7 linked regions of the Sus scrofa genome follow. The protein of the gene in region 6 interacts with the protein of the main gene of each other region in a pairwise test. Links are inferred from orthologs where the notes say so. Each region holds a gene or a part of one and is shown on either strand. Other genes may lie near its edges.

Evidence for each region.
Region 1: the proteins of CCDC136 (region 6) and MOS interact in binary tests that used the Homo sapiens proteins (3 or more experiments, as listed by UniProt). The two-hybrid records come from large-scale screens. The link is inferred for Sus scrofa from reciprocal best matches to the Homo sapiens genes CCDC136 and MOS.
Region 2: the proteins of CCDC136 (region 6) and USP2 interact in binary tests that used the Homo sapiens proteins (3 or more experiments, as listed by UniProt). The two-hybrid records come from large-scale screens. The link is inferred for Sus scrofa from reciprocal best matches to the Homo sapiens genes CCDC136 and USP2.
Region 3: the proteins of CCDC136 (region 6) and KAT5 interact in binary tests that used the Homo sapiens proteins (3 or more experiments, as listed by UniProt). The two-hybrid records come from large-scale screens. The link is inferred for Sus scrofa from reciprocal best matches to the Homo sapiens genes CCDC136 and KAT5.
Region 4: the proteins of CCDC136 (region 6) and NEBL interact in a two-hybrid assay, tested with the Homo sapiens proteins (2 studies listed by BioGRID and IntAct). The two-hybrid records come from large-scale screens. The link is inferred for Sus scrofa from reciprocal best matches to the Homo sapiens genes CCDC136 and NEBL.
Region 5: the proteins of CCDC136 (region 6) and SMARCE1 interact in binary tests that used the Homo sapiens proteins (3 or more experiments, as listed by UniProt). The two-hybrid records come from large-scale screens. The link is inferred for Sus scrofa from reciprocal best matches to the Homo sapiens genes CCDC136 and SMARCE1.
Region 7: the proteins of CCDC136 (region 6) and CDK2AP1 interact in binary tests that used the Homo sapiens proteins (3 or more experiments, as listed by UniProt). The two-hybrid records come from large-scale screens. The link is inferred for Sus scrofa from reciprocal best matches to the Homo sapiens genes CCDC136 and CDK2AP1.

Annotation. Positions count from the first base shown.
Region 1 is NC_010446.5:75,737,930-75,741,576, forward strand, and holds MOS (proto-oncogene serine/threonine-protein kinase mos), read left to right. Parts: upstream 1-1,472; 5' UTR 1,473-1,645; coding exon 1,646-2,683; 3' UTR 2,684-3,147; downstream 3,148-3,647.
Region 2 is NC_010451.4:46,587,555-46,591,713, forward strand, and holds the start of USP2 (ubiquitin carboxyl-terminal hydrolase 2), read right to left. Parts: upstream 2,801-4,159; 5' UTR 2,671-2,800; exon of another isoform or gene 2,667-2,670; intron 660-2,666; exon of another isoform or gene 540-659; intron 1-539. UniProt on the Homo sapiens protein: Hydrolase that deubiquitinates polyubiquitinated target proteins such as MDM2, MDM4 and CCND1. Isoform 1 and isoform 4 possess both ubiquitin-specific peptidase and isopeptidase activities.
Region 3 is NC_010444.4:6,569,420-6,573,590, forward strand, and holds the start of KAT5 (histone acetyltransferase KAT5), read right to left. Parts: upstream 2,801-4,171; 5' UTR 2,786-2,800; coding exon 2,608-2,785; intron 2,283-2,607; coding exon 2,214-2,282; intron 2,128-2,213; coding exon 1,991-2,127; intron 1,719-1,990; coding exon 1,563-1,718; intron 1,473-1,562; coding exon 1,398-1,472; intron 1,295-1,397; coding exon 1,220-1,294; intron 749-1,219; coding exon 500-748; intron 419-499; coding exon 329-418; intron 1-328. UniProt on the Homo sapiens protein: Catalytic subunit of the NuA4 histone acetyltransferase complex, a multiprotein complex involved in transcriptional activation of select genes principally by acetylation of nucleosomal histones H2A and H4.
Region 4 is NC_010452.4:53,838,826-53,842,970, reverse strand, and holds the start of NEBL (nebulette), read right to left. Parts: upstream 2,801-4,145; 5' UTR 2,175-2,800; coding exon 2,094-2,174; intron 2,005-2,093; coding exon 1,933-2,004; intron 1-1,932. UniProt on the Homo sapiens protein: Binds to actin and plays an important role in the assembly of the Z-disk. May functionally link sarcomeric actin to the desmin intermediate filaments in the heart muscle sarcomeres.
Region 5 is NC_010454.4:21,801,410-21,804,539, reverse strand, and holds part of SMARCE1 (SWI/SNF-related matrix-associated actin-dependent regulator of chromatin subfamily E member 1), read right to left. Parts: intron 2,947-3,130; coding exon 2,774-2,946; intron 2,251-2,773; coding exon 2,149-2,250; intron 1,028-2,148; coding exon 817-1,027; intron 1-816. UniProt on the Homo sapiens protein: Involved in transcriptional activation and repression of select genes by chromatin remodeling (alteration of DNA-nucleosome topology).
Region 6 is NC_010460.4:19,806,738-19,810,237, reverse strand, and holds part of CCDC136 (coiled-coil domain-containing protein 136), read left to right. Parts: coding exon 1-54; intron 55-303; coding exon 304-444; intron 445-779; coding exon 780-938; intron 939-1,203; coding exon 1,204-1,374; intron 1,375-2,041; coding exon 2,042-2,227; intron 2,228-3,500. UniProt on the Homo sapiens protein: May play a role in acrosome formation in spermatogenesis and in fertilization.
Region 7 is NC_010456.5:29,637,584-29,641,083, reverse strand, and holds part of CDK2AP1 (cyclin-dependent kinase 2-associated protein 1), read right to left. Parts: intron 3,228-3,500; coding exon 3,101-3,227; intron 1-3,100. UniProt on the Homo sapiens protein: Inhibitor of cyclin-dependent kinase CDK2. Also acts as a component of the histone deacetylase NuRD complex which participates in the remodeling of chromatin.

The sequences.
Region 1 (3,647 bases), on a different chromosome or scaffold from region 6:
AGCAAGGGCAGGGACCGAACCCGCAACCTCATGGTTCCTAGTCGGATTCGTTAACCACTGCGCCACGACGGGAACTCCTATCCTAATTTCTTAAGTAAAAAGATCAAGGCTCAATATTATCCACTAAGGCAGATGGGTGATAAAGAATAGAAATCTTATCCTAGGGCTCAAGAGACTTCCAATGGCTCAAATGGATTGTGTTTATTAACATACCTTCTCAGAACCAATACACTTCAGAAGCATAGACCTATCACCAGAAAAATGTGGTCACACATCACCTACATGCCCTAAGTGCAGTAAGTCATGATAGAACTTTCATCATTTGATGTTTCAAAATGTAGACACTACCATTCTCCAGTGTTGTTTTTCTTCATTTTTCTTTCTTTTTTTCTTGACTGCACTGGTGGCATGTGGAAGTTCCCAGGCCAGGGATCAAACCTGTGCCATAGCAGTGATCCAGCCACTGCAGTGACAGCACCAGATCCTTAACCTGCTGACCCACCTGGGAACACCTTTCCCGTGTTTTTTAATGAACAGAGTAATATTATCGGTCTTTTTCCAAAAGTATGGAATAAAAATTAGTTTTTTATTATAAAAATTAGAATGGAAGAACTAACGGTTGGACAGCAAGACCCTGGATTTAATTTCAACATCTGGTTTTCAACATTATAGGAAGGCAATAGTGGTTCTGTGCCATTTTTATTTCTTCAGATTTTTCCTCTCCTAGGATACTCTCATATTTGTTATTATTTGAAGCTCTGGTCATGGCTCTGAATCATTTTTGCTCTTTTTCCTCCCCTAACTCTGCTTCAAAACTTCTGTAACTCATTTGCTGTGAAGTCTAGAATCTCTTCTGCAAGGGAGCTTCCTGGGTGGGCCGGACTGCCATGGACCGGAAGGATTGCTAGGGAGTCTTTACATTGCTAAGAAGTCTTGCTAATTCGCTATATAAGCTGAGTGGACTGTCAGAGAATTTTCCTTTTCCCTGATGAATTTAAGAGGTTTGTATTTTGACCTGACTCAGTGATTCTGTTTGGGTCGATTACTTTGTTACTGTTTTTTTCTCCATATATGAACGTTGCACCTAATTTTCCCTGTAATCGGTTAAAAAAGCTCAGCTGTTGATGTTTCAACTCTTTCTGCCAATAACTGCTGGCAGTGATTTAATGCAGCTGGAGAATAAACTGACAATCATTATAGCCTGCAAAGTGTGGAATATTTTCATTGCACTGTTGTGGTGGACTGATAATGCTCGGCGGATGAGAATTGGGGGGGAAGCCTGTGTTACGATAAGAGAAGCAGCAGTGTAAAAGTGGGTGAGTTCTGGGGCAGCTTAGGGCCGCTTATCCAGTCAACGCTTCTCCGGGGCTTGTTTTCATAGGAGTTCACTTTAAGTGCTAAAGGGAAATGCTTTCATCTGAGCGGGATTTTTGTGCTTCGTTCAGATTGTTTCCCCATCTGATAACAACCCTCGCTGAGTAACAGCACAGATGTGGCTCATCTGCGGAAGATGGAGGCAGAGGAGAAAAGCGCTGGGCCGGGGCGCGGAGCGGCAGGTGGTCAGTGATGCTTGCACGCCCGCCCGCTGGGTCTTCTCTTCCCTCCTATCCCACCCAAGCCGCGGCGGGCTGCCCTCCGCAGGGCGATGCCCTCACCTTTCCCTCGGCGCCGGTGCCTGCCTGGCGACTTCTCCCCGTCGGTGGACTCGCGGCCCTGCAGCAGCCCCTGCGAGCTCCCGGGGCCGACAGGGAAGCTCTTCCTGGGGGGCACCCCACCCCGGGCCCTGCGCCTTCCTCGCCGGCTGGCCTGGTGCTCAATAGACTGGGAACAGGTGTGCCTGCTGCAGCGGCTGGGAGCCGGGGGCTTCGGCTCGGTATACAAGGCCACCTACCACGGCGTGCCTGTGGCCATCAAACAGGTGAGCAGATGCACCAAGAACCGGCTGGCATCCCAGCGCAGTTTCTGGGCCGAGCTCAACATCGCTCGGCTCCGCCACGCCAATATCGTGCGCGTGGTGGCCGCCAGCACGCGCACACCCGCGGCCTTTGACAGCCTGGGCAGCATCATCATGGAGTTCGGCGGCAACGTCACCTTACACCAGGTCATCTACGGCGCTACGGGCTGTCCAGAGGAGGATGGGCCTCCCTGCAGTGCTGGGGAGCAACTGAACTTGGAGAAGTGTCTCAAGTATTCCCTGGATGTGGTCAGTGGCCTGCTTTTCCTGCACTCCCAAGGCATTGTGCACTTGGACCTGAAGCCAGCGAACATTCTGATCAGTGAGCAGGACGTCTGCAAAATCAGCGACTTTGGTTGCTCCGAGAGGCTGGAAGATCTGCGCTTCCGGCCTCGGCACCACCTGGGCGGCACGTACACCCACCGAGCCCCCGAGCTCCTCAAAGGCGAGCCCGTCACCCCAAAAGCGGACATCTACTCCTTTGCCATCACCCTCTGGCAGATGACCACTAGGCAGGTGCCTTACTCAGGGGAGCGTCAGCACGTGCTCTACGCGGTGGTGGCCTACAATCTCCGTCCGTCCCTCTCGGCGGCGGTCTTCACCGAGTCCGTCCCTGGGAAGAAACTGGAGGACATCATCCAGTGCGGCTGGACGGCCCCTGCGCAGCAGCGGCCCAGCGCACAACTCCTCCTGCTGGACCTTCGCGCTCTACAAGCTGAACTGGGCTGACCCGAAACGTGTGGCCGGATAAGCATTTGTCTTTGTTGCTGTTCATTTTTAACAAGAGAAGATGTAGGCAAAAAAAAAAAAACAAAAACAAAAACAAAAAACATAGAGGTAGGATGGATTTTTAGAAAATAAAGTTACCAAAAACTCCTTTCACCCCAAATGCTTTTCCTAAGACAAACAGCAGAACTAGAAATCTAGTGGTGTCTCTCCTTCTCCCTTTACAGAGCTCTGTGTTTGCTTCAGAGCTACTGTGCTTCCTTGCAGTTCCATAGTACTGCACTTAACTCAAATTTGTTATTGGTCTGTTAACAGTTTACTTGCTCCCGTACAAATAAGCTAAAAAACAAAGATTAATTTTTCCCTCCTGCTCTTCCCCCAAAACTACTTGTTTCTAATGATCTTCACACATACAGTTCGCAAGTTGAGGTAAGCTTGTTTTTAAAAGGAATGATACTTTAAATGATTTCTTGTGATTGTGATATTTTAAAAACTTCTGCGTGCCATGAGTAGAAATTTTGCTAAAACTTCTAAACTGGGGCCCTTTTCCTGTTGTTTGGACTCAAAAGTAGACGACAAAACAAAGATGATGTGATGGGAGAAAATACGATAGCCCTGCAGCAGAGCAGAATTTAACATTTAGCTGGAGGAGAACAGAGAAGTGGAAGCAGATCGCCCAGTCTAGACATGGAGGGCATGGCTACGCATAGATTTTTGACAAATGAGGTGACTGGATCTTGTCATGAGGACAAAACTGACTTCTATTTAGCAACAGAGTTTCAGCAAGGGCTTGATGTAGAAGCTGTGCTTGGACTGTTAAGAAGGGAGAAGCAGAAAACTTTGAAGGGGGTTAAGATGCGCAGAAACGTTTTGAGATTTGTTGGTTTGGTTTAGCTTACTTTTAGGATAAAGGAAGTGAGTTTATCTGTGACAGAATAAAGAGGGGACAAAGAGAACTGATGAAGTT
Region 2 (4,159 bases), on a different chromosome or scaffold from region 6:
TGACCCACCAGTTGCAGATGCCTTGGAAGGGGGTCATCCAAGGGGATTGGGGCCCCTCTCAGTCTCTCTCAATCCCAGTAGTTGCCCAAGGGATCGGAGGGGGCAAAGAGGTTAGATAAAGAGACCAGAGATTAGAGCCAGAATCCTGCCTGGAGAAGAGCTGGGTGGGCTGAGGGTGGCGTCTCTAGAGGGCGCTTCTTGATTTGGGGTTGGGAGGGGGTGGGCATTGCTACACTTCCAAGAAAAGGCAAAGATATAGGCCCCCAGGCAATACTGGAGTCCTCAGGTCTTCTTTTCCAACCACCTCCCTCTGGGTGCCCCCACCCCACAGGAGAGCCCCAGGCTCCCTCTCTCCTCTAGGGCTTCCTCTCCTCTTCCTGGTCTCTGAGCCTTTGGTCTTGCTCATAGCACCTACCAGGCCAGGTGGGGCAGCCTCTCACATGCTCCCCCAAACAGACAGGGCTCCCCCAAACAGACAGTCCAGGGCCCTCTGGACAACAGCCCTGTGAAGTTTGGATAGCAAAGGGACAGCTACTGACCTGTGTCCAGGGACACGGGATGGGATCTGGGGGCTTCTCCTTCCCCAGCAGGGCAGGGAGTGCAGTGGCGAGCCCAGAGGCAGGAGTCTGACTTGGGGCCGGGTAATCCGGAGCTCAGGTTACTGACTCCGATATATATAGTATCTTATCTGACCTCACGGAGATGGCTAGCTCCACTCACTGGCATTCCAAGCCTGGGCAGAATTAAAGGGGCAGTGGCAGGCCCTCCCTTGAGGTGGGCCCGTGCCAGGCAAGATCCTACAAGACTGTTTGAAGGGAGGGATTTTGAAATGGGACAGAAGGGGGATTCAAGGGGAAATAGAACTGGAAAGATGGTAGAGGGATGGGGGTGGAATGGAGGCAAAAATATGGAGAAGGAGGTGCCAGTCACAAAACTGGAGGAGAGGAAGAAGCCTCAGTGCTTGTCTGCCTGCTTTACTCTTGAGATGGAAGAGCCCTAGAGGCAGACAGCAGCGTGCTCAAGGGCACACGGATACAAAGGCAGGTGAGACCTCCTCAGGTTCCCAGGCCATTCTCATTTATAATGGACTTCTAAGCCTGGGCTTGTATTCTTTCTTTCCCTTTTATTGGCTCTAAGTCGGTGGGCAAGTCCCTTAAGCCCTCTGAACCTTATTTAGTCTGTAAAATGGGAATAATAATAATAATAATGTTATACCTCACAGGTGTGAGGATTAAATAATATTTGTAAATTTCCTGGCACCTAGTAAGAGCTCAATAAATGGTAATTATTACTATATTGAATACTTCCACTTATAATTAGAGGTAGTTTTTGTAGTAGCACCCTCGGGGGAACCTGGCTAGGGAGAAAAGGGCCTCCAGGCTACCCCGCGGGAGTGCTGTTCTAATGCCATGGTTTTCTGAGCAGGTCTGTGTCCCATAAGTGGCAAGGCAAACGAGGCTTGCCCCATTCCCAGATGTCCAGTCCACCCACCGGCAAAAGGCCGGGCCCTCTTGGGCTCCTTCCTCCTTTGCCTAGAAAAATACAGCAAGTGCAGCTTCCCCGGGGCTCCCGGGAGCAAGCCCAGCTGCTCTGGGGCAGTTCCACTCTACCTGTAGGAGTGCTCAGGATCCCGGAGCCCAAGGAGTGGGGCTGGCTGGGCAGGGTCACAGGAGGAAGGAGCAGGATTCTTAACCTCTCGGCTCTTGGTGCTCTGGTCTGCTCCCAGTCTGTCTGGCCTGTTTCTCGATGGCTCTCCCTGAGGACTGGGAGTACCCAAGATGGGGCCTCCACCCTGTCTCAGCAGAGGCTACTGACTCAGCTCCGGTCCTGATGATGCACTTCAGAGGACGCCCTTGTCCCCGGCCCTCATTCCAGTCCTCATTCCGACCCCGGCTTGACATTATCTACAGCATCAGAGAAGGGGTGGCTGATCCAACCCCAGCTCAACCAGCTCTCCTTTTCCTTGGGTTCTCATTGGGGGACCTTCTCATGCCTGTGCCTGGGGAGGCGAGCAGCAGCAGGATCTCCAACTCGGCCCCATTCGAAGAGCAGCCAGGTCAGGAGGTAGATGCTCACTCCTTAGAGGACAACTAGAATGGATTGGCCAGGGCTCCCTTTGGCTGTTAAATATAAGTTACTAGCCTTAGAGCACCGCGTGCCTGCTTCTGGTTTGGGATTGGTGAAGATTTCAAAGATGCCTCTTTCTGGTTTGGGATTGGTGGAAAATCTCCCCTTCCACTTAAATGCTACCCTCCCCCCACCCCACCCCCTTTGGCAAACCGACCAGAGACAGCCCCCAGGAGCTTTGACAGAGGGAGTAAATGAGCTGCTCGCACACGTGGGGAAAGGATTGTCAGTGTCCAGGCGTCACTCTCAGCCACATCCCACCCAGGGCTCAGAGACCTGGACCTGCCCAAGCAGCGTTTCCGTAGAACACACTGATTAGCGCACAGATGGCTCTTCCTGGCACCCTGGGCTGTCAGCTGGTGCCCCCCCTCCCCCCTACAACTGGTACCCACAGCTGGAGATCTTCAGCGCAGCTGGAACTCGCCCTACATTTCTAGTGCCCATTCTGCCCAGCCTGTCGTTGGCACCTCACTTTCTGAGCCTCAAACAACACTGCCCTCCGCATCACCCCTCCCCAGTATCCGACAGGTGGCAGGTACCTGCCTCTTCTCCGAGGATGGACGAGTCGAGCCGGGCACAAGCATGGAGCTGCGGGTGAGTCCTGACTGGTACTGGAGCGGCGCAGTGAGCAGCAGCTGACGCAGAGGGCTCCCTGGTCTCCGCTCCAGCCCGCCTCTCCCCCACCTCCGCCGGGGGCCCAGAGAGGACCTCCCCGGGAAATCGGCGCCACCCAGCGGGCAGCTGCCTCATTGCGCCGGGGCCGTCAAAGTCACACCCCGCGTTTCGCGTCACTGAGACGCATCACGGCTATTGGCTTTTTGCTATTGTGGCGTCATTAGACTCCGCCCGGCCAGGGTCTCCCAGGCGACCGATATATACAGAGAGCCACGTGAAGGAAAGGTGAGTTTGGAGGCGGGGTGGAGCACAACGAGAAGGGTCCCAATGCGGCAAGAATGTGGCACGACGGGAGAGGTGTAAGGTACTGGGAAAGAGGAAGCGTCTTGGGGGGAAGGGTCAGAAGTTGAGTCCCAGGGCATATATAGCAGCTTTTAGTATTTAGGGAAGGCTAAATGTTCCTCTCCTTCCCACCCGACCAGGAGCGGACCTGTTTTTTTGCCTCTTCTCTTTTTTCTCTACTCTTTAAGACTCTCCACTCAGTAACAGGAGACCAGTGATTAGTGATGACCCCTTGACTGGGTGAACGGAGGCACTGAGTCAATGGAAGGATTCTCTTTTGTCTTTTCAGAAAAAGCCGAAAGGAAATTTGAATTTTTGCCGCTCCTTTTCTTTGTGTATAACCTTTCTCTACTTACACTGCGGTGGTGAAGAAAACCGCATAGCCATGTAGATTGGTGCCGGGGCAAGTCCAGGTTTTCAATTTCACCTGGACCATCAATCCTTTCGTGCCCTTAGCTGCTTCTCTTGTTCTTATGCAAGGCTGGTATTTCTGCCCATCATCACTCTGAAGTCCCTTCTTGTCTTCTCTTTCCCAGAGAAACTAGAAGCAATCAGGAGGAAAACACTTAAAGTTCTTCCTACAAATATATCCAAATCCAGTGTTCCCTCTGCTCCAAGAGCAGTGAAAGAAGTGTCCCGCTTCTTGTCCAGGACAAATCCCTTCTGGATTTCAACTCTTTAATTGTTCCTTAGTGTTACCTGAAAACTGGGTTCACCTCTTGGTGGGCTTCAAGCCAAAAGACACAACCAAGCCAAAGATTGGAAGAAGGTAAAATTTATTACTTGTAGCAAGTAAGAAGAACACCGGGGCAGGGTGTGTGTGTGTGTGTGTGTGTGTGCGCGCGCGCGCGTGTGCACGGCGGTGTCTTTCCCCAAGCAGTGTATCCTGGAACAGCAAAATTGGGGAAGTTTAAAGCTAAGGGTGCATGCATATTCATGAAGGGCCTTGAGCCAAAGAGAATTCACAATAGAATTGAGGCAAAGGTTGCCAGAATCCAAGCTTTAGTTGACTGAAGTCAATGAGGGTCAGCAAAGGTCAACATCATTCCTTAGTTTCAGACCAGGGTCTCAGCTG
Region 3 (4,171 bases), on a different chromosome or scaffold from region 6:
CTTCAGAACCCATGGTTTCGGATTCCTGTACCCCCCTTACCCAGGCTCAAAGGTCCCCTCCTCTGGATCCTGATAACTCACACTTTGTCTCACGACATGTATCACGCTAGGATCTAAGAAGCCCCTAGCATGTCTGCCTTCTCCTGTGAGCCCTCAGCAGAGATCCTGTCTAATTGCTGGTCACTCTGTATCTCCCACACCTGCCCTAAGTGAATAAATGGGGTGAATAGATCTGTTAGCCAAAATGGTCAGTGCTTTCCTGAGCTGGAAAAGGCCACTCACTTGACTCCCTGCACCAAAGACTCCCCACGGCCCCTGAGCCACTGACCTTGTTCTTACGACCATCGATCTCAAAGAAGGAGATGGTGCCCTTTCGGTAAATCTCGTTGCCTGGAGGATGTCGCAGGTCACACTTGGTCTGAGAAGGAGAGGAGAATCAGGGGCAGGGCCAGGGCAGGGCAGGGGTGCTAGGAAGGCGGCCTCCTGGGACCCTTCCTACCAAGTGACGCTGCAGACACTTGAGGCTTCGGCCGTACTTGAGGCAGAACTCGCAGAGGTAGAGGACGGGCAGGGTGGTGAGCTCCTGCGGGTACGGGGAGAAGTACCACGGCTTGAGGCGGTGCCGGCCCAGCTCGATGCACTCAATGTTCTTCATCCGGGTGACGATGTCGTCGTGGCTGCGGTCAGACACCAGGCTCCCAGTCATGCGAGGAGCCGAGGGTATTCCGTCTGAGCTGTCCTGGGAGTCCTGCCCGGGGCCACGGAAAGACGCCAGGTTACAGGAGACAACTCAAGCAGGACACTCTCTGGCTCACAGCCCTCCCACGGGTTTCCTAGTGGGGAAGATACCATAACCCCTACTTTCCAGTTAAAGAAACCAAGACTTGGACAATTTTCATTGGAAACTGGAAAAGATGACCCAATGCTTGATCTGAACCAGTTCTGCCTCACTCCTAATCCCAACACCACCTCAACCCAGCACACTCTGTTCATCTTCCAACGAGTCACTGAACTCTCTGCCCTGCCTACGTCCACTCCTTTTTTTTTTTTTTTTTCCTAGCTACAACATGCAGTGGCTTGATGTGGGAATCTCAGTTTTCAAACCAGGAATTGAACCCAGGGGCACAGCAGTGAGCGCACACTGATTTCCAATTGCTACCCACCTAGGGAACCCCCTGTCCCCTACTTTTCACCCCGCTTCCCTCTTCCCCAGACCCACCTCGTCAGTGCCCAAGCAATTTGATTTTCGCTTCCGCCCTGGCTGAGCTGCCACTGCCCTACGGGCTGATCCATTCTGAAGGTGAGATGAAAGAAAAAGGAGTAGCTGTGAGATGCACCTGAAAGGGGCTACCAGAAGGTAGAAGGGGAGGGAAAAAGAGATGGTTTGGGGGACTCACCTGGGGAAAAACTGAGGCCGGGGCTGTCTCGCTGGGCACCGGAGTTGCTGGTGAAACCACCTCCACCTTCCGTTTCTGCAGAAGAGAAACCAAGAAAGGTGGGTCAGAAGGTAGGGAAGGTGGGACCTGAGAGGAAAGCAAGGTCCCTGGAATTGCTGAGGGTACCGTTGAGCGGTGGTTGGGCTGCAGGCAGGAGCTGGAGGAGAGCGGCTGGTCGGGCTCGCCACCGGGAATGGCCTCCCGCTCCTTGGGCAGGTTGAAGCGGAGTGTGATCTGGACCGGGATTGGCAAGGTCTTCCCGCTGGCCTGGGCGGAGGCCGGCTGTAGAGATAGGTCCAGGGTCTTCCTCTGGGGTGGGGATGGTGGTGGGATGGGGAAGGGGAGTAGGGGCCCCTCAGTGTGTAATGATCAAACCCCGCCCCTCTCAAGGACGCTGGACTCTGGAAGCTACATCTGCAATTTGGCCCCCATCCTTTGCGAGCTGAAGCCAGGGTGGGAGGGCACAGCCTCCTGCCCAGCTGGGAGCCACTGAGGCCAAGAGATGAGAGAAGTAGGAGGCAGGAGAGAAAAGTTGAAGCAGGGGACCTACTCACCACCTCTCTCTCTGGAGAGCCGGGGCGGGACCCAGGAAGTCCGTTCTTGGTGGGGGTCTTGGCCTCTTTCTTGGGGAACTGGATCTTCTTTAGGTCCAGCCGCTCATGAGTCACCCATTCATCCAGGCGTTTGTTGACTGCAGCAGTGGGGATGGCTCAGGAAGGAGTGCCAGAGGCTGCCCCCCGCAACCCTAGCCCCACCTCATCCCGGCCCAGAACTCACAGTCAATATAATGGACGTAAAAAAGCTTCCGGCCACTGATGTCCTTCACGCTCAGGATCTCGGCCAGGGCTGTGGGCACAGCACAGGGAACGGCCTTAGAGCGGCCAGGCCATGAGGCTCCGCCCTTCTACAACCTGAACTCCACCTCCAGGCCCGATCCCTGAGCCTCAGCACTTGGAAGCTCTCGCCCAAGCCCCCATTAGTCACCAAGTGTCATTCCCTTCTCCAAGCCCCGCCCTGTCCATCTCCAGCGGCTAAAAGCCACGCCCCTCGTGAATATCTGCGCCCCGCCCGCCCCAAGATTCTAGAGGCCCCTCCCCCTCCCTGGGGTTCGCTTGACTCCCCCCGCCCCTCGCCCTCAGGTTCCTTAGCCCCGCCCCCCGACGTCACTCACGCCACTCATCTTCGTTGTCCTGGTTCCGCCGCAGCACGGGCAGGCGGCAGCCCTCGATTATCTCCCCCTGGGGAGACAGCGCGGCGCCAGGGTCGGCTACTGGGGGGCCTCGGGCTCTACCCACCTCCCCTGGCTCCCTCCGCCCCGCCCCGGGCACCGGACTCACCACCTCCGCCATCTTCCCTCCCTCCACTGCCACTTCCGGCCCCTCTGGGAGACGTCACTTCCGGGACCGAGCACTTTGTAGGCCCAGGTCTCTCCAAACCGGCTTCAGGAGAGGACCCTGGAGAGACCCCGCAACCCAGCTTGCTCATGGAGCCGGCCCGTTTGGCTGGCGGGGGAATAGGGTACTGTAAGTCTCAAACCAGGTCTTCGGTGGAATCCCCACAACGTGCACAACGATTGGAGGAAAACTGAGTCCGTCACGTGACGCTCACCGGGTGCGACGCCGGTCACGTGGGACTGGTGTTTGCTTCGCCGGCGGCCGGGTTTGGGCGTCTCCTAGTGGCCGCAGGATGCGTCTCGGGGAGTGAACTGCGCGTGCCCGGCTGGGGGTTGGGGCGGGTCTTGAGGGTTTGAGGGGCTGGAGAAGTGGGTGGGACTTGAGGGACTTAAAACCCTCGCCAAGTTTGTGGCCCTAACTCCTTGGGGTTGGGAACTCACGGAAGGTTTGTAGGTTTGTTGTTTTGTATAGTAGGTTGCTAATTACAGGAGTAATACATCATTCATGCATACATTCAACAAATGTGTAGTAAATCACCTGCCACGTACCAGGCACTGTTCTAGGAGCCTGGAATACCTCAGTAAATAAAGAATTCCTTTTTTTTTTTTTTTTTTTTTTTTTTTGTCATTTTGCCATTTCCAGGGCCGCTTCTACGGCATATGGAGGTTCCCAGGCTAGGGGTCGATTCAGAGCTGTAGCCGCCGGCCTACACCAGAGCCACAGCAATTTGGGATCCGAGCCGCGTCTGCGACCTACACCACAGCTCAAGGCAACACTGGGTCCTTAAACCACTGAGCCAGGCCACGGATCGACCCTGCAACCTCATGGTTCCTGGTCAGATTCGTTAACCGCTGAGCCATGATGGGGACTCCCAAGGATTCCCTCCTTTTGTAGCTTACCTTCTTGGAGGTTGGGAGGGAAAAGAGGGGCATAGGTAACACCTGGTTAATAGCGTTAAAAAATAAATTATCTAGTCTATTAAATAATGATAAGTGTTTTGAGAAAGCCCCCTCAAAGAAGAAAAAAAGCACCAGGTGAAGGAAAGGGCCAGATAGGCAAAATGGCCAAATCCAACCCTCTGCTAGCTTTCCTACAGCAAATGTACTAAGAATGGGTTGGTTTGTTTGTTTGTTTGCTTTTTAAGGCCGCTCCCAGGTTTCTGAGGTTTCTCAAATTTGTATCTTCAGCCCAGATCTCCCTCGACTTTCTCTGCCTACTCGACACCCCCATTTGGATGTACCAGGGGCATGTCCTGAACTGAACTCCAGATCTGCCTTTCTGGTTTCTCCTCCCACCTTCTTTCTTCTCCCTCACTGATGAGCTGGTCCATTCAGTTTCTCA
Region 4 (4,145 bases), on a different chromosome or scaffold from region 6:
TGATATTATTATCCTTACTGCTGTCATCATCATTTCATTTTTATTACAGTTTACAAAGAACCTCTACATCCAGTAGCTGTGCCTAGTGTTAAGTAATGGCACAAAGAAATACTCAATTTAAAATTTAATTACATGACATGTCAAGCACATGGGAAGGGGTCCGATGTCCACCATCCTCTGGCTCTTTCTGACAAACCAGAAGGCAACACGGCATCATGTATAAAAGGCGACTGGACGGATAAAAATTAATTTGTAGAGGCAAGAGTTAGTACCAGCTGGCATTTCTTGAGCACTCACAATGTTCCAGACAATTTACTAAACACTTCAGATATGTTACGATTTCTTAATCTTACTATTATAAATGCTGCCCTTGAGGAACTGAGCCCAGCCAACCTGCCCAAGGTTGCTGTTAAATTGACTCAAGAGAGCTGACTTCAGAGACCAGGCGGGCACATGACCACACGGGCAGAGCCCAGGATTGACTTCTCTTGCAAGTAAATGTGTGTAAAACATTCTGATCACTTTGCTCAGTAGGAACAGCAGAAATCACCTGCATTCTGCCCTCCTCTCTAAATACAGAAGGGCCGGAGTTCCTGCTGTGGCTCAGTGGTTAAAGAACCCAACTAGGAACCACAAGGTTTCAGGTTCCATCCCTGGCCTCGCTGAGTGGGATAAGGATCGGCGTTGCCGTGAGCTGTGGTGTAGTTCGCAGATGCAGCTCGGATCCTGCGTTGCTGTGGCTGTGGCATAGGCCCGTGGCTACAGTTCCAAATTAGACCCCTAGCCTGGGAACCTCCATATGCTGTGGGTGCGGCCCTAGAAAAAGACCAAAATAAATAAATAAATAAAAAATAAATAAATACAGAAGGGCCCTGCTCAGGCTTCACAGGCCATTTTTCCTCTGACTCAGTGATGCTCTTACAATTGTCCCAATGAGGGTCATCTAAATTCTCATTCCTAGTGAAGAACACATCTCCATGAGCTCCCAGAATTTTGTTTACATACTGACTATGGACCGACAGATGGACAGATAAATATGGAGATATATATGAGTTAATTACATAATTCCAGGATTCCCTTGAAATACAACATAACTCCCAGTTAACGAGAAACATCCCCACACCAAAAATGCTCCTTTCACTAATATCATCACCATCAACATCTCATTCAGGGTTCTTAATCTATGAATCCTAAATTGTTTGTTTGTTGTCTTTTGTCTTTTTAGGGCCACACCCATGGCATATGGAGGTTCCCAGGCTAGGGGTCTCATCGGAGCTGTAGTCACCGGCCTACGCCAGAGCCACAGCAACACCAGATCTGAGCTGAGTCTGTGACCTACACCACAGCTCACAGCTACGCTGGACCCTTAACCCACTGAGCAAGGCCAGGGATCGAACCCGCAACCTCATGGTTCCTAGTCGGATTCATTTCCACTGCGCCACAACAGGAACTCCTGAATCCTAAATTGTAAATAAATGCATATGTACACAGGCATATGCATTTTCTGGTTTGGAAAAAACTACACACTCATCAAATTCTGCAAACATTCCCCAAAATGCTAAAAATCATTCATTTAGATAGAGAGCCTCTCAAAACAAATTATATCATTATACAAACTGTAAAAGGCTTTGGGTTCTCAATGGAATATGCTCTGAAATACGATGCTTTATGATTTCATGCCAGGGTAACAGTGAAATTCCAAAGTTACACGATTCTGGCTTAAGAATACAGAGACCTATCCCCAGAGAAATTCCTTATCCGGGTGACCTTGGGAAAAATCGCCTAAAATGTCTGGGCTTGGTGCCATGATCTGGAAAATTGCTGGGTTTTGGTAAACGATTTCAGGGTTTTCTCCTCAGCTCTCTGATACTATGACATAATAGTGCCACACATGCAATGCAAAATCAGACAAAAATTACTTAAGCCGCTTACATCACTAATGAGTTTGGTGCATTTTCTGGCCAATTCCATGCTCAGGTCTTCAATAACAGGCTTAAAGAATACCTGTCCAGAAAAAAAGGAAAGGAAACATTTTTCTCATCATCAGCTTTGGGGAACAAATATCATTCTTCAGCAAGTGCTTTCTCACTTACCTTGTCTTCTTCATTTTCTTCTTCCCCTGTTTTTTCTTCTTCTGTTTCATCTTTCACATCCTCAAATACAGGGACCCTCATTTTTCCTCTTCATGTATCTATTTTTTAATTCACCAGCGTAGACCTTTTTATATACCACTGCACTCTTGAGACCTTGACTTCTCTGTGTTCTGGCAGAAATGACCTTGCCCAGACCTCCTCCCTATTTAGCTCCTACTTCACCCTCCTTATCACAACTGCGTGTGAGTGAAGGCAACAGGATCACTGAGGGTGGCCAGGGCCAGCCTCACAAACGGAAATCGCATTTTAAGAGGCAAAATTCAATTTTGCAAACTTTTAAAGTCAATATTCTTTGAACTCGCTAAACAATTCAAAGGAGATCATTCATTAATATTTCATTAATTCCATTCATTCATAAAATAGTTAGAAAAAGACTTAAAGATTCTGGGAAAACCACTCAGCTGTAACACTCAAGATAGCACAGTGCAAAGCCTATTATCTCAAAGATTCCTCAACTCCAGCTAAATAAAGCTTCCACTGGAATGTCAGACATAGCTCAGATTTGGTACAGAGAGTCTGGATCATTCAAACTCATTTCATTAACCTAAATTAAATTTTTATGAGACATATACGTACTTCTCCATTCTAAAAAAAAAATACATTAGCTGATTAAAAGCTAGTAATTTATTACAAAAAGCCCTTTGAACCACTTCAAAGAATCTCTTCCAAGTTAATTATGACTGTTAATCTTATATTGCTATTGTATTATTTTAATTGTAAACATCATTAAACATGAGAAGCTGCAGTTAACAGTTTGATACATCATTTAAGAATTCTATAAACATCGTTTCAAAAAACAATAATTACCAGTTCTGCCCATTGTGTCAATTTTTACAAATTCCCTAGTTATTTATATATTTCTCTATGTGTAACACACGCTTGGAAAAGTTTGTAAAAATAAACTATAACAATATTCATAATGTGGTATGTGTCCTTGACTGTGTATTTCTCAAAACAAATCCTTTAATGTCAATCGAGATAATTCTAAGACTATACAACTCATAATTTATCAATTTGGTTATTTAAATCCAAGGATAATTTAGTATTTCTAAAGCCATAACATATCAGTGTAGGACATTAAAAAATATCCTATGGTGAATAATGAAACTAAGGATATAAATTATAACTTTAATCAAAAAATTCATCATTCTAGGTAGACAGGTATGATGCTGTTTTCTCTTGATATCATATCTAATTTTAAATGTTCTAAATTTGCATTGGCCTTGCCTACAAATTCTGAAAAGAAAAAAATTCTACACAGTCATCATTTATAGATAATTTCTCAAATTATGTTCCAGGAGGCTAAAGTTGCACAGAATACTCTGGAGTGGAAAAGGGAGTTTCTTAAGCAGATGTGTTTGAGGAAATCTGTATAGTAATCTCTAGCCCTGTCACTTAGGGAACAGTAACACAAAATCTACATGGCACAATAACACAAAAGCTCTGAGAAGACCCACAACCGAGAAAACTATTTACGTCTGCTTAACCCAGCATGTCCCAAACATGAAATCCTATTCATCCAATATAATCTAACCTATTTATTTACCTACCTACCTACCTATCCATATACTTTTTTTTTTTTTAACAGACATCCAATACTCTATAAAACTAACATTCTTCTGTGAAATATTACTTAGGGAAACATTATTCTATTCTGAAAAAAAAAAGTTGTGTTCTATAAGAGCTGTTGATCTTTTCATGAAATGACTTTTAATACAGGCTAACTTAATGGCATCACATATCCTGCTTAACAGCAAAATGCCAAGAAGAAATGCCCCAAGCGTGCTGAAATTAGAAACCTTAACTTTAATTCACCAGTCATGTCGCGCCAGTGTAGGGAATTCTACAAGGAAATTCTCTGTGCATTCCATTTGTTTCATAAAGGAGCAGAATGTGAGACTCTGTTTGTTTCCCTCAAGTCCACTGCCAAAAGGCTATTCTAATACCCTTCAGAAGATCTATTATATTAATCTTTATTTGGAAACAGGGAAG
Region 5 (3,130 bases), on a different chromosome or scaffold from region 6:
AGATCTGGAAGTCTGAATTCCTCCAGGAGGGAGTCAACAAACACTTACTGCTTACTGCGAAGGCTAGTCAATATATTTTGGGTTTTGTGGGCCAGGCAGTCTCTGCCGAAACTACCCAACTCTACTGCTGTAGCCCCAGAGCAGCCACAGACAATATGTAAACAAATGATTCCAACAAAACTTAATTTACAAAAACAGGTGGCAGGCAGGATTTGGCTGCAGGTTTTATTTGCCCAAGCCTGTTCTAAGACACCAAAGATGACTTAAGAGCAATGACCACATCTTGTTTGAATAACTTCCGCAAAAAGGTTAAAATCTTGAGTGTTTACACCACATCAAATCCAGTTATATGCTTTTATGTACATTTTCTTATTTATCCTTTAGAATTCTCTCAGATACAGGAGCTAGAATGCTCAGAAATGAGGAAACTAAGACTAAATAATTTCCCCAAAGTCACAGTGCTAGCAGTGGTGCAGCAGCAGTAGACCTAGATCTGTCTGTATCCTTAACCGTTTATAGCATCACGCTTCATATTCTCAAGCCAGGGAATGACACGAATCAATCCAGGCAAAGACCTCAAACAGCAACACTAAAGACAACACATCACTGCTGTTTTGAACCAAAACCATCGGTTTAAGTGAATCTACTGTGAGAGGTTAAGATGTGCAAAGAAGTGGGAGGGTCAGATGGAGAAGAACTCAAGAGGCAAGATTAACAGAGCGATGTCCGAGCAGCACCGAGAAAGGGAAAGCGGAATTAAAGACAGCGGGAGAGACCCTGGGTTGACCTTCATGGTGGTGTGACCTGGCAGGTTACCTGTCTCCACTGGCATGCTTTCGTCTTCCTTCTTTTCTTCCGTCTTATTAGCTGCTTGCTCTTCCTCAGGAACGATACTGCTCTGGCTGCGCTCGGCTTGCTCGGCTGCCTCTTTCTCCCTTTCCTCCTGCCTTTTGCGAGCCTGTTCCTCGGCCTGTGCAATTTCAGCTGCAATTTTTTCCATATCCACTTCTACTTTCAAACCACACAACTAATAGAAAACAAAACCCAAGAAGCTCTCTTAGTGATGTTCTTTCCTCATAATCTCTGAACCAGAGACACTGTCTCAAAAGTGAGTTTCCTTGGCTAAGAACTGTACACACGTATAAGGCAGAAAAAAAGAAGCTGGAGGTCTTCTCTGAAGCTCTCAGGTCTGCAGAAAAAGTTGCCCTCGCAGCCATGTGACATCAAGGATCACAGGAGAGGGAGTTCCTGCTGTGGCTCAGTGGAAACAAATCCAACATCCATGAGGACACAGGTTTGTTCCCTGGCCTTGGTCAGTGGGTTAAGGATCCGGCATTGCCAGGCGCTTCAGTGTAGGTGGCAGATGTGGCTTGGATCCCGAGTTGCTGTGGCTGTGGTGTAGGCCAGCAGCTGCAGCTCCGATTCGACCCCTAGCCTGGGAACTTCCATATGCTGTGGGTGCGGCCCTAAAAAGACCAACAAAAAAACCAACCCCCAAAAAGTACTGTTTTATATACAAACCTCCCATTTTATATTTCAGGCTGCCAAACATTACTTTTAATGTCTTAAAACAAAGTACGGAGTTCCCGTCGTGGCTCAGTGGTTAATGAATCCGACTAGGAACATGAGGTTGCAGGTTCAATCCCTGGCCTCGCTCAGCGGGTTAAGGATCCAGTGCTGCCGTGAGCTGTGATGTAGGTCATAGACGCGGCTCGGATCCTGCGTTGCTGTGGCTGTGGTGTAGGCCAGGCAGCAACAGCTCCGATTAGACCCCTAGCCTGGGAACCTCCATATGTTGTGGGTACAGCCCTAGAAAAGACAAAAAAAAAAGTACAAATTGTGAACTACAGCTAATGAAGACCTTTAATGAAAAAATTGCAAAAAAAATGAAAATAATTTATGACTGCCTGAGTGTACATTAAAACATCAGAGGGTTCTAGAGTCCAAGGCCCAGTACATACGTGTACACTACATGATATTTCAAACATATTGTAGTTTTGCCAGAAAATGGGAATTATTTTACCGTGCAAACATCTTACCAGTTATAGCAAAGTTAACACTGTTTCAAAGTGAACAACGTTCCTTAAAAACACTCTTTTCGGAAAAAACACAGTGATAAAAGCATAATTAACATATTAAAACTGATACCCTTTTAAGTTCATTATTAAATGAATCTGTGCTTTCCAGGAATTTCCTCTTCTTTTCCTGATGTCGCTCCTCTATTTGAAGAAGTTCAGCTTCCAGCTTTCGCTGTAAAACATATGACCAGGCTTTGTTACTACCGAGTATCTTCTCGAGAGCAAATATCAAACACAGAAAATCTTCTTTTTTTAAGAGTCCATACTTTCTCATAGTGGGATAGATGTTTTGAATTTTTCATTTAAATTATTTATCACATGTGTCCAGCTAAGGTTTAAAAAGTGTGAAATGCAGTGGAGAGGAACGACTGAGAGGTACATGTTGAGGCATATGGTTTCTGGCCTCAGGGATTTCTATGGAAAAAAATATTTATGACAGCCGTAGAAGTTATTAGGATGTCTCAAAATTCTTAATGCAAATACTTTCTCTGCCAAAAGGCTCTGTCACCGTTTTAATGACAAACTTATTAAATCTCTGGGAAACTTAGCTACTCCCTCAAGCCTCTTCCCCGAATCAGGAACAGGTCAGACTGAACATAAATTTAAGAGGCACACGGACGCATGGTACAGAATCAGGTCGCCTGGCACCTGTGGCCTAGGCACATTTTATTGTACCAAATGGTCTGTGACTTTACCTGATGAACCATTAAGGACTGGACCTGTCGTTTGAGGACCTGCATTCTAGCTGTTGTGACAACAGACCGGACGTCTGGCACCACACTCTCACTGAGGATTTCACTGATGAGGCGGTGGTTTCTCTGGAAACGGGCAGTGGCTGTATGCTTCATTGAAAAGCCATCATCATAATCTGGAAAAAACAAGATGATCTGGAAATCAGGTCACCAGTAACCGTAACTGGGAGCGTGGAACAAGGTTAACTCTTAATTACCAAGGAGCCAGGGCCCTCACTGGTCTAACAAGTGGGCCTACAAGGCATCCAGGGAACACTGGGGCAGCCATTTCATCATCCCACATAGGATACACTGGCTAAG
Region 6 (3,500 bases):
TTGCGACAGCAGCTGCTGGGAGCTGAGGAGCAGATGCATGACATGCAGAGCAAGGTAGGGAGAGGCAGGCGCCCTTCACTGGCTGCTTCTCACCTTCTCCTGGCCTGTGGCAGCAACACCTCCTTTGACACGAGGCTGACGAAGGAGGCACGTGCTGTGGCAGGAGATGGTACTCCACGGGCTGGCTTGCTCGCCTGCTGGAAATATCCCAGTAAAAAGAACGCCATGCTCTGCCCAAGCCCGTTCCTGGAGTGCACGTGCCCATCGTAGTAAGTCAGCCTTCCTGATCCGTTTCCCACACAGTGTAAGAAATTGTGTTGTGAGTTGCAAGAGCTGCAGCATCATCACCGGACCAGCGAGGAGGAGCAAAGGCGGCTGCAGAGGGAGCTCAAGTGCGCACAGAACGAGGTGCTTCGGTTTCAGACTTCCCATGACGTCACCCAGGTAAACACTGACAGGGGAAGGGCATCGGGGAGGGCAGAGGGCCCACATGGAGTCGCCCCCTCAGGGGAGGCCCGACCCAGAGGAAGGCTGCATTCTGCTGACCCTTGCCCTGCAACCAGGGGTACATTCCACCAGAGAGCAGTTGGCAAAGTCACATAGCATGGCATTCTAGAAACGGTGGTCATTATCCAGCGTCTGTCCCAGAGAAGACACTAAACCATGGGCCCGTGGGAGCTCCTCAAGATGTCTGCCTCTGGAAACGAGCCACTCTGGTCTGGAGAGGGGTCTGCTGATTCATGAGCGTAACCGTTCTGTCCACACCCTCCCCACCGCAGAACGAGGAGCTGCGGACCAGACTCTGTGCCCTACAGCAAAAGTATGATGCTAGCCAGGATGAGCAGAATGAGCTCTTGAAGGTGCAGCTACAACTTCAGGCTGAGCTCCGGCAGCTCAAAATCACGAAATCCCAAGTCGTAGAAAGCCAGAGTGAGAAGGTAACACCCACCAGAGGTGAGGGGCCGCTTAGGTGCCAAGAGGCTCGGGGGGAAGGGGATAAGAGCAGAGCACTGAGATCGCGCCAGCGACCCCCTGTGCGGTGCCACAGGTGAGGAAGTCCAGGAGTCCTCCGCCAGCTGAGAGGACCCCCCCAAGTGCAGGGCAGGGGGAAGCGGGTTCTCAGACTGTCCGAGTCTGAGAGCGACTCAAGCAGAAGAGCGGCTGCGGATCCCAGAGGTACTGCCCCGGGCCCCTCCACCGCAGGAGTTACTGTGCCGGCTCCAGAAGCTGCAGCTGCAGTACCAGAACATCACGTGTGAAAAGGACAAGCTGCTGGACGTGCAGCAGCAGCTGCGGGACAACCTGCAGTGCCACGAGGCGGAGGTGCAGCACCTCAAGGGCGTCGTGGCCTCCTTCCAAGACAGCAGAGAGAAGGTAAAGGAAGCTGCAGGTGACAGAGAAGGTAGCGGCAGGCTCTCCCGTGAGTGGACCCAGGAGGAGAGGGATGGTAGGAGTTCTGTGGAGGAGCTCTTGGCGGCAAGGAGAGAAGAAGGTGCTTAGTGGAAAAGTGATCTCCGAGGGTCATGATGGGCCCAGCTTCCTTTAATTTTGAATCAGAAAATCAGCCTGTAGGGGTTCCTGTTGTGGCATAGTGGAAACCAACCCAACTAGTATCCATGAGGATGTGGGTTCAATCCCTGGCCTCGCTCAATGGATTAAGGATCTGGCGTTGCCGTGAGCCGTGGTGTGGATCACGGACGCGGCTCAGAGACCGTGTGGCTGTGGCTGTGGTGTAGGCGGGCAGCTGCAGCTCTGATTAGATCCCTAGTCTGGGAACTTCCGTATGCCACAACTACAGCCCTAAAAAGCAAAAAGCAAAAGAAAAGGAACCTGTCAAAAGGAAGCCCCTTTCCTTCGCCACCAAAAGAGGGCGTCCCAGGGTAGAGCCTGTTAGGGACTGGCCCATCGCAGGTCGTTCCCGTTGGGATGAAACCAGGACTGGAGAGGACAGGGTAGGCTCCCCTGAGTCCCTGCCTGACAGGAGGGGGTGCAGCCACAGGGGCTGCTGGGGTGACGGCAGGGTCTGCCTCCCCCGCCCCAGTACACGGAGATGCGCGCCCAGCTGCAGGAGGTGAAGCGGCTCCACCAGACCAGCCGGGATGCGCTGGAGCAGCAGAAGCACATGTACGATCAGCTTGAGCAGGACTTCCTGCTCTGCCAGGAGGAGCTGCAACAGCTCAAGACCACCCAGGCCATCCAAGAGGACAAGGGGCAATGTGCGAATAAGGTAATTGTTATTAAGAGAGGTGAGAGCTCCCGAGCCCTGGAAAGAGGAGGTATGGGGACAAAAGATGAAGTCATCCAACCGAGGGGCTTGATGGACTTCCTGTCCAGTCGCAGCTCACTGTGGAAAGGCAGGAAGCAGAGGCAGCGCCCCATGCAGTTAACTTTAAAACTTTGCCTTGGAGTTCCCGTCGTGGTGCAGCGGAAGCGAATGCGACTAGTAACCATGATCCCTCGCCTCACTTGGTGGGTTAAGGATCTGGCATTGTCATGAGCTGTGGTGTAGGTCGCAGATGCAGCTCAGATCTGGTGTGGCTGTGGCTGTGGCATGGACCGGCAGCTGTAGCTCCGATTAGACCCTTAGCCTGGGAACCTCCATATGCTGTGGGTGCACCCCTAAAAAAAAAAAGCATCAACTTTACCTTGACTTTGAGTCCAAGCCACAGTACCTCTGGATCTAGTCTGAAGATTTTATACATGATTCCATGTGTGTAGACATGTATACCTTGTTATTAGAACTGTAGTGCTACCTTGTCATTCGTGGAGAGGAACACACACATCGGCCCATGTGCATAACTCTTTTTGTCAGAGCTAGAAAGAGAAGGTGCCGTTTTCTGAGATGCTCTTGTCGAAAGGCATGGTCTGTGCCCAGAGTGCTGACTGGGTATGAGAAGGCCCTGGGCTCTTCCAGGATTTATTCTGTGCCTTCAGAGTAGTTAAATTCCAAGCGTGAATTAAGCTTTGAATTTATCTTTAAATGGAACAGAATGCTACTCTTATCTCACTTTCTTTTAGGAGAAAATCCTGGTAATGATAAGGCCTACCTTCTTCATTTTCCCCTTTTTTTTTCTATAGTGTGCCAAATGCACATCCTTAGCAGTCAGGCTTGTTGAGCACTTTCAGCTCCCGGTCACCGCTAGGAAATGGAAAGATGTTGACACATGATGGAGAAAAGGGGCAAGATTCTCAAAAGATGGTGGAGCCAGTCGCCTCCTGCCACGGCCGACAGCGGGCTGTGTCCCCAGGGAAAGGCTTTCGGAGGACACAGCGGGGGAGGTGATTTCCAGCTGCCTGTCTATACCCAGGCTCACTTTCCTCCTCCCCCCACTCCCACTTCACTGAGAGGTCTGGGGGTCCGCAGCGTGCTCATCGCCCCCTCTCCTAGCGGAAGAGACCACGAAAGGGAGAAGCTGCTGGCCTACAGAACCGGCCTCTCCTTTAGTCCTAAAACAGCAGCGAGATTAGTTGGATGTTAAAAGATTTCGGAAGATTTGGGT
Region 7 (3,500 bases), on a different chromosome or scaffold from region 6:
TCACCTGGGAGCCACCATATGCCTCAGGTGTGGCCCTAAAAAGACAAAAAAAAAAAAAAAATCTGGTGTTGTCACTGCTGCGGCTCGGGTTGCTGCTGTGGTTTGGTGCAGATTTGACTGCTGGCCCAGGAAATTTCCGCATGCCATGGACATGGCCAAAACAAACAAACAAAAGACTTTAAATAATAAATAAATAAAAGGCTCTAACAAATCCCACCCCACCCCTCAAAGCCAAAACTCCTCTTTTAAAAATCTCATTCTGTGCTCAAGGTGACAACCAGGAAGCTCTTTTCATTACTCCCTATTCAAACTATGTTACCATCCAGATGACAAGAGTAAGTGTGTCTCCACCCCAGTTCTTTAAGCCAAACCCTCTGGAGATTCCATGCCCTCAAATCATTATTTTTTCTAAAGTCTAGAAAGGACCTGGCAGTGTCACAGCCTGCCTGGTTCAGGTACAAGAGAACTACTCACTTGGTCCACTGCTTCGTCCTTCCCCAGGGGACCTGCAGCATCTATTCCACTATTATTCGCCCATCATCTTTTATCTCTATGGTTTGGGAGTTATCTATTGTTTGCTTGGGTTTCTTTGGGAGGGGGAGGGCAGGCTTTACTCAACTTCATGAAACATTGATCTCATTTTAATAGGCACAAGAGAATCTATTCCTTTTTTTTTTTTCCAGACTAAAAAAAAAAAAAATCCCTTTATTTTAGTCATTTTGAGCAGCTACAACAGAGTACCATAGTCTGGGTGGCTTAAACAACAAACATTTATTTCTCACAGTTCTGTAGGCTGGGAAATCCAAGATCAGAGAACCTATTCCTTCTAAGAGCTGACCCCCAGAGGGCAATGGAAGTGAGTGACTCCTCAAATCACTCAGGTGTCCCCACCTTACAAATCTTATCCCCCAGAGCTTCTGAGCTTTGAGACCTTCTGTAAAGGGCTATACAAACAGACTCCCAGACAGAGGACAGACTTGTGGTTGCTAAGGGGGAAGGCAGAGGGAGGGAGTGGGATGGAGGGGGAATTGGGGGTTAGTAGATGCAAACTATTCCATTTAGAATGGATAAGCAAGGAGGTCCTGCTGTACAGCACAGGGAACTATATCCAGCCTCTTGGGATAGACCATGAAGGAAAATAATATAAGAAAAGGAATGCATATATATGTATGACTGGGTCACTTTGCTGTATAGCAGAAATTGGCACAACACTGTAAATCAACTATATTTTAATTTAAAGGGGGGGCTGTATAGCCACTGTCACAGCTACTCCACTCTACCGTGACAACAGCAGCAGACATTATGTAAGCAATGGGTGTGGCTACGTTCCAACAATACTTAGAGACACTAAAGTCTGAATATCACATCATTTTTACATGTCACAACATCTTTCTTTTCTTCACCATTAAAAACCACAAAAAACAGTCTTGGCTCCTCTTGGTGCCTGACTCCCTCTTGCCCTATGACCCTTTTTACTTGCTATGACATAAACTTGGCAAGCCTGCTCAGCTTCTGGTCAGGGTGACTGTGGGACCAGCTGCTTCCCCAGGATGTGCCCTAGCTGCCCTGGCGCAATCACTAGGTGTATCCAGGCATGGACTTGAACTGCTGGCTTTGTTGGGTGGCTGCAGATCACCTGTCAGACAGTCTCTGGGGTCCAGCATCTTCCCAGGCATCTCCAATCTGGTAACCAACACCCCAGTTACCAGGACTGGGTGGCATGATGCCCACCTGACCCCCAGGGTTGGATTGGAGGTAAGCTCCCTCCCTCCTCCACGCACTCTTCGTTCCAGCCTCTAACTACCAGTCCCCCTCCCCACACCTGTGCTCTTATTACCCAACCCAGTTCCAAAACAGGTTAGTCTCTTCACAAAGGAGTCATGAACTGGGTAAAGGCCACTGCTTTGGGTAGGGGCCTGACCTCAATCAGCCTTGCCCATCACTGAAGTCACGGCTGCAACTGCAGCACCCCGTACACCCCAGATTTATAACTAAGAAATGTTTCCCTTTCCTATTTCTCCAAAGTTACTTCTCTGACCTTCAGAAAAACAAACAAAAAAACCCGAATCCCTCCTGAAATTAAATTCACACATAAGCCACCACATTCTGAACCACCACCTTCTAAAATAGAAATCCTTTTCTCCCCTCCACTCCCAACCAACCTATTTCACTGCCTGCTGAAGTCAGCTGGCCAGTCACATCTTCACGTGCAATACCTTCTTCCTGTGGTACCATCCTCCAGTGCCCTCCCTCTCTAATCAAGAAATAACTTCAGGAGTTCCTGTCGCTGCTCAGTGGTTAATGAATCCGACTAGGAACCATGGGGTTTCAGGTTCGATCCCTGGCCTCACTCAGTGGGTTAAGGATCTGGCGTTGCCATGAGCTGTGGTGTAGGTCGCAGACGCGGCTCGGATCCTGCGTTGCTGCGGCTCTGGCGTAGGCTGGCGGCTACAGCTCTGATTAGACCCCTAGCTTGGGAATCTCCATATGCCGAGGGAGCGGCCCTAGAAATGGCAAAAAAAACAACAAAAAGAAAAAGAAAAGAAATAACTTCAAAGCCTACTTGCTTTCCCTCCCCAGACTAGCACAGACCACAGCCTCCTGGGGCACTGCTCCAAAAGAGGACAGCAGAGGACCCTGCAGCCCCCAGTCACTGGCCTTGCCCAGAGGAGAAGCCTGTTGTACTGGGTGGCTTGGGGTTCCCTGGGGCCAGCTATGGCCAAAGGGAGCAGAGCAGGCCTGGGGCAGAGCTGTACCATCTGGGTCTAGACTCCCTTCTAAGACAGATGGACCCACCCTTACCCCAGGGAAGCATGCAGGGCGAGGGCTTCCCTTCTTAGACACCCCATCTGACAACTGGCCACCAAGACCCTTCCTGTCAGATCCTCAGGACAGTCTACACTCCACAGACCCAGTCATGCTGCCTGATGCCTCCACATCCAAGGGTAATTCTGTAACAGGGCAGGAACCCCTGTGTCCTGTGCTGCGGGGTACTCTCCTGTCCATCATCCTCCATTTTCAAGAGAGAAAATCTTTCAAGACAGTTACTAGGCCAGAAGCAAAGTGTCACCTGACAGTGGAGTCCAGGCCCATGACCTACCTCGTTTTAGTCTCTCCATTGCGCTCTTGCTGCCTGCATAGGTGGGTCTGATCTCTTTCCCCAGCTCTTCGATGATGGCCAGCAGCTCAGCGTATTTGCTCTGGGGCACCTGGCTGTTACCGGTTCCCTAGAATCAGAAAGAAAGGGTTCAGGGAGTTCCCATTGTGTCTCAGTGGGATACAAACCCAACTAGAATTCATGAGGATGCATGTTCAATTCCTGGCCTCGCTCAGTGGGTTAAGGACCTGGCATTGCCATGGCTGTGGCGTAGGCCAGCAGCTGCAGCTCTGATTCAACCTCTAGCCCAGGAACTTCCATATACCACAGGTGCAGCCCTAAAAGAGGAAAAAAAAAAAAAAAAAAAAAAGTAGTTCAGATAGATTGAGCCCAACCTGACCCC